Arabidopsis thaliana: one gene and its partners. The protein of the gene in region 1 purifies or fractionates together with the protein of each later gene. This does not show direct contact. Each region holds a gene or a part of one and is shown on either strand. Other genes may lie near its edges.

Region 1 (3,754 bases):
GAAGAAGCTTTGACTCGCTTCTGTGAAGCTACAACAAAGAATGGGTTACCTTGCACAAGAAGTTCTCCTAAAGGAAGCAAAAGGTGTTGGCAACATAAGGAGAAAACTTCCAGCGATACTTCGCCGGTATATTTTCAGCCAGAGGCAGCAAAAAACGTAGCTTGTGGAGTTAAATTAGGCAATGGATTGATCTGTGAGAGATCTCCGGTAAAAGGACGTAAGAGATGTGAAGAGCATAAGGGAATGAGAATCACCTAACCTCTGCATCACTTGTTTATGTTATTTGTTACCTAACCAGAATTGTTTGTACCAAAACCGTTTTGGTTTCGGTATTGGTTTGCTGAACAATCATCTGTACTGGATGACTCACAATCTCATTTTTTATAAATTTAAAATCAGTTTTGATTAACATCGTTGACTTGCATCTTTGCATTACATTAGATGTTTTTAGATTTAAAAATACATAGACCCGTTTCCCGCCATGCCTCCACTTTGTTACTTGTCCATGATGCGAAAAACTGTAAACGACCCATTTCTTTTTCAACTTCCCTTCGCTTCTTCCATATATCTACGATCGTAATATATCAGAGCTGCCTTCTTTCATTATTTTTCTGTAGCAGAACCGTTTTGTTCTGTTTTATTTTGTTTGACAATGTCGTTTGTTCTATTATCGAAGATGGCGAAGTTGAAGTTTAACCATATACGACACACAATCATTAGCACGCAAAAAAGCACAACCATTATGCCGGGGATAAGTCAGCTCTTGAACAATAGGTCTCTTATCATCTCATCTATTCACAATGTTGTTGCATTTTTATCCTCTGTTTTTTTTCTTACTATTATTGGTCCTTCAGGCTTTAAATTAATGGTCATAATGTATCACCAGATTGATCGGAAAGGAATTCAGTTCCGCCGTCCCCACTATGTTCAAGAGAGAAGACTACAAGCTGACTATACACGACATCGCATTCTCCAAATGGCGGAATCTTATAAGACACAATGATTGGAAAGATTTCAATAATAGAAAAGAAAGGGTCCGTAGATACAGACATGAGGACTTACCCCCTCAACGTTGTACGGGTCTGTATGAGCTCGGTGTAGGCGTCATCGGTCAAGACCAAGGCCAAAACTTTGATCCTGATAATAATGTTCTTGGTGTATATGTCGGACAATGTGTAGACGTAAAATCAAGACTCCAGGATTATGGAAGACGCGGTGGTCATTTGCCCTCGGGTTTATATGAGGACATATTCTCGGAAGGATACTCAGTTTTTTATAGATGGGCACCAGTAAATACATGTCTTCTTATCTTCTCTAGTTGGTCTGCTACGTATACACCTTTGATCCTAACTCATGTGATTGTTTCTCTGCTTTACCGTGATTTATCAGATGGGATCTAATTAAGTAGGAAGCTGCTGCAACAGAAGGGATGCTTTTGAGCACTTTTGATTATGCATGGAACACATGCAGTAATGGGGAACGACGCCATCTTGAGTTACAGAAGCTCGGTGACCCCGAGTTTATGAGCAAGAGAAAGTCACAAGTGCTAGTTCCTTCTATTCGAGACCAAGTTGTTACCATCAAAGTAGAGAAGAGTAATTATACTTTCCTCACTTCAACACTCAAAGTGATGAGACCATTTGGTTAACCGGAGTAAACCTACATCGACTAGGTCAAAGATATGGCTTTTGTTTCTCCTAAATTAATTGGATTGTAACCCACTTATTCACGTTTCAAATTTGTAGTGTTAGTAGTTAATTTGTATAGTTTCTTTTTTTTTTTGATCAAAAATTTGTTACGGAAAAAGTTTGGTAAGAATGTCGGCAGAATCACCACCGTCGATTAACGGAAAGATAAATCTAATCTAACGGTTATTGATAAAGCATAAAACTGACGGCTCCGATTTTATTTTCTAAAAATCACGTTAATCACGCACCAGGTGGACTATCATTGTCTTTAATCTATGGATTTAAAAATTTCCGCACGATTAAAGAGCGTCTCGAAAATTAACTTTTATAGGTAGGAGGAGATAGAAATCGAATCTTATCGCCGCGTTAATATGCCACCGGCCGGAGAACTCCGACATCAATCTCCATCAAAGGAGAAACTATCTTCCGTTACCCAATCCGATGAAGCAGAAGCAGCGTCAGCAGCGATATCTGCGGCAGCTGCAGATGCGGAAGCTGCCGGATTATGGACACAGATCAAGGCGGAAGCTCGCCGTGATGCTGAGGCGGAGCCAGCTTTAGCTAGCTATCTATATTCGACGATTCTTTCTCATTCGTCTCTTGAACGATCTATCTCGTTTCATCTAGGAAACAAGCTTTGTTCCTCAACGCTTTTATCCACACTTTTATACGATCTGTTCTTAAACACTTTTTCCTCCGATCCTTCTCTTCGTAACGCCACCGTCGCAGATCTACGCGCTGCTCGTGTTCGTGATCCTGCTTGTATCTCGTTCTCTCATTGTCTCCTCAATTACAAAGGCTTCTTAGCTATTCAGGTGAAATCTTCATCATTTGATCTGATGAATCCACAATTTCTATATCTTGCGATTTGATTTATGAATATTGTTTTAGGTTAGGTTAGGTTGATTCTTCAGTTATGCGAATTTCGGATCATGATTTGGCTTTGTTGAATTTGAATTAGGCGCATCGTGTATCACACAAGCTATGGACACAATCACGGAAGCCATTAGCATTAGCTCTACACTCAAGAATCTCCGATGTATTCGCTGTTGATATCCATCCAGCAGCGAAGATCGGAAAAGGGATACTTCTAGACCACGCAACCGGAGTTGTAGTCGGAGAAACAGCGGTGATTGGGAACAATGTTTCAATCCTTCACCATGTGACACTAGGTGGAACAGGTAAAGCTTGTGGAGATAGACATCCGAAGATCGGTGACGGTTGTTTGATTGGAGCTGGAGCGACTATTCTTGGAAATGTGAAGATTGGTGCAGGTGCTAAAGTAGGAGCTGGTTCTGTTGTGCTGATTGACGTGCCTTGTCGAGGTACTGCGGTTGGGAATCCGGCGAGACTTGTCGGAGGGAAAGAGAAGCCAACGATTCATGATGAGGAATGTCCTGGAGAATCGATGGATCATACTTCATTCATCTCGGAATGGTCAGATTACATCATATAAAGTTGTTGTTATAATTGTTTCTGTGGTTTTGAAAGTGAAAAACTTTCTGACCATTCGCTTATAGAGAGGTGCTGAGGTAAGTGAGCTTTGTTGTATTTGTAATTTACAAAACATCTTACGATGTTCAATACAAGAAATGGCCTTAATTTGATGTTATTATTCAATCATTAGTTATCCAAGAGTTTATACACTTCTTCTACTTTGTATTCGGGTTTGGCTCGGATTTACACTTGTCTGCATCCATTTTACGGGCTTGACAAACATCGAGGAGCATTGAACTTGTTCAGACTAAGTGAAGCATTCTTCGCCTTTACCCCGGTTCATGAGGGACTATGTTTTCGTCAACCGCAACTAATCCTTATGCGTATCTTATATCAGTATATAACTTACGGCTTCTGCAAAGAAGGATTGGTCTCCATTTCCATTTACAATTCAATTCAGACTAAAAAGTTTCAATCTGATGATCCAAATAGTTCAGGATCAAGACTGTTAAACCATTAAATATCAATATTAAGCAAAAACCAGATTCTAACTTGGTGAAATCAATGTGCTTGTAAGGCCAATTAGAGAACCAAAAACAAAATGCAAAATGAATTTTATTACTTGCTTC
Region 2 (3,754 bases), about 13 Mb from region 1:
GGAGGAGAACGTTATTTATCGACTGAATTGTTCGAGTCAGTCAGATATGAAGCTGAGAATTTGCCAGTTGAATGAGTAGTAGTAACGTAGGATTCAATAAGAGATGTTGGTACCAAGGTTACATTTTGATTATTGTAGGTCATTGTAAAATCAATAAGAGTTACATATTCCTTGATGATCAATTATAAGTTGTTCATTAACTAATTTTGATATAATCCGATCGCTAGACCGTCACAATCAAACGTTAAATCTTACTCATTGTTAATGGTCGGTTTTGGCCCATGAACATAATAAGCCCAAACCAAGCCCAGTAAGTGATAGAAAAGATCTGGAGTGTTCCATCGACCAAAGGAAGAGGGCAAAGAGGACAGATGTACTGTGCAGAGTGGAAAAAGTGGTAAAGACTTACAAGCATAAAAAGGAAACCCTAAAAGGACAGGTCCTATAAGTACAAGAATGGAAAGGAATGAAAGGAAATGCGCAATTCCCGCTGACACAGAGAAAGGACAGCAGTACAACCATTGACCTCGCCTCGTCTTCAAGACCTCACCTCGTCTTCAAGACCTCGCCTCGTCTTCAAGACCTCACCTCGTCTTCAAGACTTCGCCTCATCTTCAAGACCTCACCTCGTCTCCAAGACCTCGCCTTGTCTACACATCGCCGATCTCATCCTGTTTCGATCATTCCGTCACAATACCACGTCCCTTAGTCAAGAAATTCTCGTCTAGTCATCGGCCTGTTAACCGAGACGGATTCTTTAACTCTTCCTAGAGAAACATCGTACTTGTGTGATCCCTACATCAACACTCATGACTCTTGTTTGTAATTGAATTGAAAATTAGATACAAACACATTAACTAGAGCTTGTTTTGATACAGAGCTTTTAGCTAACTCTGTTAACTCACTAACGGTCTTCAATAAATCCGGAACCGAATCCGGTTTAATCCCTAATTCATGTGTACCGAGTCTTCTTCAATAAACACATACCACAACCCTCCGCACAAACGAGAGACTCTTCTATGTTTATAGTTTTTGATTATTTGTTTTCTTCGGACCTAACATTTCAAAAACATGTTGTTTTTTTTTTTGAATACCAGAAGGTTTTGTACCGAACTTCATAATCTTTCCAGGCCCGAAACCACAACATGTAATATTAGTTTCGTCCCAAGTGTCACTCGAACCGGCGACCTCTAAATTTCACCTAGGATAATTATCAATTGAGCTAACTACACTTGGTCAAGAACATGTTTAAGTGTGTTTCTACAAAAAAGAAAATTTAAACAGTTGTCCAAAGAAAAAAGAAGCAAAAATCTCCAAAAATCATTGATCAAAATGTTCAGCACCATTCACCAATTGGGCATTGCCAAGCTTGAAGGCGGCCAATCAAAACTGTATTCCCAAGACTGTCTAAGTAGTTCTGTTTTTTTCATTCTTTTTATTCTTAATGTTACATCTTTTGTAAAACAGTTTTTTGTTGAATATAATTTTACATTCATACAAAAAAAAAAACTTTTCTGCAATTTCAAGTAATTTGGGCAACCAATGCAAGCAAATTGTGTCACTAACTTACTATAACGACACATTGTATTCTATAAAATGAAAAAGCATGTGGTTATGAAAATTTGATTTGTGTTAAGAAAATCATGTGGTTAAAAAATTGATCTGTGACCACTTAGGTGTAATATTATTCGATCGTTCGGATAAGTAACACATGATTAGTACTAGAGAAAAGGACAATATAATGCTCTTAAACATTTTAATAATAGTGTTAAATGTTTATCTGCAGATTTTGTTTTAATAACAAAATACAACTATTGGATGCTCTCATTACGCAATATGACAAAAACTCTTTAGATGTCAAATTTTTAACATTATTATACAAGAATGATGACATAAACTCGTCTTCATACTTCAACATCGTTCAGTGTGCACCACATGCAAAGTAGGGTAGTCTCTATATATCCTAATCTAGAATACAGCCTTGTCTTCTTCACTAATAATTCGTTTAAACGCAAAGGTACGACTTTTTTTTTTTTGTTCTTGTTCGTTCTGATTTAGTCTTACTATCATTTCTTGATTTTGGTATCAAATTTATCTAGTTTTCACTGTTCTTTACTAAATTTTTATTTTGTCTCTTATCTACTTTAGAGTTTAGAAGTTCCATATTAAAAATTTTAGTTATGAAACAATATAACCAAAAAATTGCCAAGATTGTTCTTGAATCTTACTTGTGCATTGTAAATAGAGTCTGTTAGCAAACTTTGACCATTGAGTATTTTGTGCTTTGTGTCTAGATTCTTGAATCTTATTCTATGGTTATTGGACTTCATAAATCCATTTTGTTCTTTAGTAGTTGGTACCCAAATATTGATTTTTCAATAGTTTCAGAAAACAGACCAACATGGAAGATCGGTGCTTGATCAAGAACGATATCACTGAAGTAATAATCTCTAATTTCTTATATATGTATCACTTTGCTTTTTTATGATACAAAGAACATGTCTAAAATCTTTTTCTATGTTTGTGCAGTTGATTGGTAACACACCAATGGTGTATCTGAACAATGTTGTTGATGGTTGCGTGGCTCGTATCGCTGCGAAGCTTGAGATGATGGAGCCTTGTTCTAGCGTCAAAGACAGAATCGCGTATAGTATGATCAAAGATGCAGAAGACAAAGGATTGATTACTCCCGGAAAGGTTAATATGAACATTTAAAGTTATCATAAAAGTTTCTCCATAATTTATAAAGAATACATAGATGGAATTTAATTGTTTTTGATTATAGAGTACATTGATAGAGCCAACTGCTGGTAACACCGGGATTGGTTTAGCTTGCATGGGAGCTGCAAGAGGCTATAAAGTGATCCTTGTGATGCCTTCAACTATGAGCTTAGAGAGAAGAATCATTCTGAGGGCACTAGGTGCAGAGCTTCATCTCTCGGACCAGCGCATAGGCCTTAAAGGAATGTTGGAGAAAACTGAAGCGATTTTAAGCAAAACTCCTGGTGGTTACATTCCACAACAATTTGAAAATCCTGCAAACCCCGAGGTTGATAAAATAATATCATGCATCCAACACAATTATGTATATGCTTTTAGTCTCTCTATGTCTTCATTGAACACAAGTTTGTATCTTGCAGATTCATTACCGAACCACGGGACCGGAAATATGGAGAGATTCAGCCGGGAAAGTAGATATATTGGTCGCTGGCGTAGGGACTGGTGGAACTGCTACTGGAGTAGGGAAGTTCCTCAAGGAGCAGAACAAAGACATCAAGGTACAAAAACTTTCACTAACGCTTAAAAACAACCAAAAACTCGGTTTTTAATAACTCGGTTACAATCTTGATCTTATAGGTTTGTGTGGTGGAACCAGTAGAAAGTCCGGTACTTAGCGGAGGTCAACCAGGTCAGAAAATGAACATTTGATAGATCTTATGCAACATATAGTATTGATTTGTTGTTTTGTATGAGATTTAATGTACATATATATAGTGACAACATTAACATACGCGCCAAGTTATCTATAAGATCATCGTTCTTTTGTCCGAGTTCTTGCATTTCTAATTATAATATCGGTTTATGGGACTTCATATTTGTAGGTCCACATTTGATTCAGGGAATTGGCTCTGGTATCGTCCCATTCAATTTGGACTTAACCATTGTTGATGAAATTATTCAAGTAAGTAGCCTGATATGATCTACTTCTTGATCTTGAACAAATAATCTAAGATCTGGAATCTTTTGATTTAGG
Region 3 (3,754 bases), on another chromosome or scaffold:
TATTGTACCAAGCTTGGGGCTATTTATAAAGTAGATGTAGTTGTCCTCTCGTCACTGTTTTTGATCACACAAGATTTCAAATAGAGAGAGCAAAAACTCAACCAGAAACTTTCTAGAAATGGATTGTTCATAGTAGCAGACAAACTACTTTTGAGTTCTCACAAATGACAAGATACAGACAGAATCTGAAGATATATATGTTGGAAGAAAGATCATTTATTTGTATCACCAAGAAGAAAGGGGAACAGATTCAGGGCTCAAAGGTCATAGTCTCTGCCTCTTTCCTTGCTGCATCAAACAGTACAGTCGATAGATATCTTTCCCCGAAACTCGGAAACACCGCCTGAAACATTCAGTTTCACATCTCTTATTATAAGATCGACTCTTAAGCTTCCATGAGTTCACTGTTTGTTCTTTAGCTTTGGAAAAAACGTACCACTATAAGCTTCCCAGCATTTTCTGGCCTCTTTGCAAGTTTGATTGCTGCAGTAGCTGCTGCTCCAGATGAGATTCCCACCTACAGTACATAGGAGGAGACAAATGTGATAACGATCAAGGACCTGTTTTTATTTTCATGGTGAGGTTTGAATCATAATGGTGAGGATAAAGCTGAATCAAGACATTTTTGGCTTAACAGAAAAATCTGATGAGGCAAAATGTGAAGCACTTACTAACAGACCCTCTTCCCTAGCAAGAAGCCTTGCCATGTCAATGGATTCTTCACTTGAAACCTGCGTAAGCGTTACAAAACTATAAGAGGCAACTAAGAAATGTAAGGTGTGTTTTGGAGTCAGCAAGATGATATTGGTATGAAACCTTACCTGAACAACTTCATCTATAAGATCAACATCCAAAATGCCTGGAATAAAACCAGCACCTATACCTTGAATTTTGTGGGGACCTGAGCATTTTTACCAATGTGTTAGGCTGAAATTCAATGAATCTTGATATGAACACCAAAAGTTAGAAGGACCTCATAATGAACACTCAAGACTAACATGTGAGCAAAGTAAAAGAAGAAAAAGTGTGCCAAAGAGTTCCTTATTGAGGACAAACCTGGCTTTCCACCGGACAGAATAGGGCTTTCAACAGGCTCGACACCATACAGCTATAAGATGAGAAAACAAATGAGACAAGTTTTGAGTTTACTAAGAAAGAGTCTGATTGTATAAGTAAATGAAATTCACCTTTATGTTTGTGTTCTGTTCCTTGAGATACTTCCCAGCACCTGTTCAGGTACCACCAGTACCAATACCAGAAACAAAGCCATCCACTTTTCCACCAGAACCTTTCCATATCTCAGGTCCAGTAGTCTCATAATGGATCTGCAATGAACACAATACTATGTTATAAGTATCTGACTTCAAATCCACTAAGGCACTTAAACTAAATAGTAATTACCTTTGGATTAGCAGGATTCTCAAACTGTTGAAGCATATAACCATTAGGTGTTTTCGCCAAAATCTCCTCCGCCTTTGCAACAGCACCTTTCATACCTTTAGCCGGATCAGTAAGAATCAACTCAGCTCCAAAAGCTAAGAGAATGATTCTTCTCTCTATACTCATTGAAGCTGGCATTGTTATAACAAGCTTATAGCCCTTTGCAGCTGCAGTAAATGCTAAACCAACTCCAGTGTTCCCACTTGTTGGCTCAATCAACACACTCTAAAGAAAAAACTCAAAAGTTAAAAATCTCAAAAACTAACAAATGAAGAATCTGACTAATAGCTTCCATTTAAAAAAAAAAACAGACCTCTCCCGGTTTAATAAGTCCTTTAGCTTCTGCATCAGCAATCATACTATAACCAATCCTGCAACAAAAAAGAACAAAGTACAAGTATTTGTTTCTTTTGTCACTAACAGAGAAACTAGAAAACAGAGCTTTTAAACTTTTCGGAAGCACCTGTCTTTGACGCTAGAACATGGTTCCATCATCTCAAGCTTAGCAGCAACATGACCAACACAATCTTTAGCTACTTTGTTTAGATACACTAATGGAGTGTTCCCTATTAGCTGCTCCCAAATAATAAAAAATATCAATTAAAAAAAAAACATTTACTGACAAGACATAGTTGAAGAAAGACATAATCTTGGAGGTTACTTACTTCAGTTACATCTTTAGCGATTTTAGGAGCCACTGAAGCCATGTTTCAAGCTCACTGCTTAGATTTCACAAAAGAAAAAAGATGAATGCAATTGTTAAATATCATGTATAATTAATCAAAATATTCGATTAATATAGGATCATCTCATCATCTGATTATAGGTTTACAACAACAACAAAAAAAAAAAACTTATTTAAAACTTTTCATTTCACGCCAACTTTGTCCTGATCATGATGCATCAAAAACTTTCCAGATGAATAAACAAACCATGATATATATATCATCATACCTGAAAATATATCGATCTAGCAAATAAAAATCGGTGGGAATTGTGAACAAAGGTCGATCGGCTATGGAAGAGCAGAGAAGTTACGTATAAGAAAACGATGATATCATTGTTAGAAAGTCAACACTTTGACCCGACAAGAAACGTAGAAATGAAACGGATAACATTTTTTGGGCCCCACACAGAAACATATCTTCTGGGCCCATATTACAAACTAGAAAATTTCAGTCCTCTAGGCCATCATTAGATGACTAGTCTTCTTCTTAAGTTTCCTCTGCTTAAGCTTCACTTTAACATTAACACCATTGTCAATAAGAGCTTGAAGCACGACCTGAAGCTTACCTTCAATTTTATCTCCTTTCCTAGGAGTGTATATAACATCATGTATGTCATCTTCCAAACTTCTTTGAGCAAGAACTGCCCCAACCGCAGCGCAAGCTGCAACGTTTCTTCTCGAACCAAGATCGAATTTCATGTCTTTTGAAATCGAATGAGCCACAGTTACAACCTTACTAGTCACCCTGTGAATCACACATGCTCGTACAGACTCTTTCGAGATGTATATGTCTAAGCAAAACGGGTAGTGAAATGGCGCCGTGAGTTGGTTAAACGTAAATGTTCTTTCTCTCTTCTTCACAGCTTCATTAGGATGATCCGTCTCACCTGTGAAAGAGTCATTTCTCTTCTTGTATTCGTCACGAACTTCCTTCTTGTTATCCTTCTTTATCTTTGTTTCTTCTTCTTGGTTTTGCTCCTTTTTAGCGTTCTTGTGTTGATTCTTGCGGTGGAAGTCATAGTTGTATTCCTCGAATTCTTTTGAACCTCGATCGAGCTTGAAGAAAAGATCACCGCGAATTCTCATGTTATCGATTTCATCGTGATCGGGATCTTCATCATCGAGTATTGTTTCTCTTACTCCTTGTATTGTAACGGGAGAGTTTTTTGCAGTGTCTGCTTGGAACTGTCTCCAAGCTTGGGATAAAGATGATGAAACATGCCAAACATCATCATCCACAGTTTCTATACCACAACCACTCAAACCAGTCACTGTAACTTTACCACTTTCACTGTTGGAAAATCTCGAGGAGAAGCAACGCGGTGCAGGTCGAAAAACGGAGATAAAATCTGGCAAACGGAGACACTTTCTTCTCAAAACCATCAAAGCCATTGAAGGAAAAGAGACCAATTCTGAAAACGCACGTGAAAACTAAACGGTAAGATTTCAAAGAGACATATCGTCGAACATCTGGTGTGCAAGGTTGGTAAAGAGAAATTTCTCACCACTGGCTTTGTGTCTTGTACCGAAATTGAATCACCACTTTGCTCAATGAAGAAGAAATGCAATTCAACAGAGAACTGGTGG

The links.
Region 2: the proteins of SERAT1;1 (region 1) and CYSD2 purify together in Arabidopsis thaliana (affinity purification with mass spectrometry, with the first as the bait; one study listed by BioGRID). This does not show direct contact.
Region 3: the proteins of SERAT1;1 (region 1) and OASA2 purify together in Arabidopsis thaliana (affinity purification with mass spectrometry, with the first as the bait; one study listed by BioGRID). This does not show direct contact.

What each region holds. Positions count from the first base shown.
Region 1 is NC_003076.8:22,960,888-22,964,641, reverse strand, and holds SERAT1;1 (serine acetyltransferase 1;1), read left to right. Parts: upstream 1-1,928; 5' UTR 1,929-2,059; coding exon 2,060-2,503; intron 2,504-2,649; coding exon 2,650-3,144; 3' UTR 3,145-3,413; downstream 3,414-3,754. Other genes in the region: ET2 (effector of transcription2), read left to right, coding at 1-258; AT5G56770 (transcription repressor-like protein), read left to right, coding at 653-774, 887-1,289, 1,409-1,648.
Region 2 is NC_003076.8:10,026,814-10,030,567, reverse strand, and holds the start of CYSD2 (cysteine synthase D2), read left to right. Parts: upstream 1-1,845; 5' UTR 1,846-2,017; intron 2,018-2,032; exon of another isoform or gene 2,033-2,388; 5' UTR 2,389-2,401; coding exon 2,402-2,440; intron 2,441-2,529; coding exon 2,530-2,697; intron 2,698-2,699; exon of another isoform or gene 2,700-2,785; coding exon 2,786-3,049; intron 3,050-3,140; coding exon 3,141-3,278; intron 3,279-3,357; coding exon 3,358-3,409; intron 3,410-3,602; coding exon 3,603-3,682; intron 3,683-3,753; coding exon 3,754-3,754. Other genes in the region: DES1 (L-cysteine desulfhydrase 1), read left to right, coding at 1-75.
Region 3 is NC_003074.8:7,962,248-7,966,001, reverse strand, and holds OASA2 (O-acetylserine (thiol) lyase (OAS-TL)), read right to left. Parts: upstream 1,876-3,754; 5' UTR 1,812-1,875; coding exon of another isoform or gene 1,799-1,811; coding exon 1,754-1,798; intron 1,666-1,753; coding exon 1,402-1,665; intron 1,326-1,401; coding exon 1,289-1,325; coding exon of another isoform or gene 1,233-1,288; intron 1,229-1,232; coding exon 1,188-1,228; intron 1,109-1,187; coding exon 1,057-1,108; intron 902-1,056; coding exon 822-901; intron 732-821; coding exon 672-731; intron 518-671; coding exon 437-517; intron 344-436; coding exon 251-343; 3' UTR 95-250; downstream 1-94. Other genes in the region: AT3G22450 (Ribosomal L18p/L5e family protein), read right to left, coding at 2,624-3,559.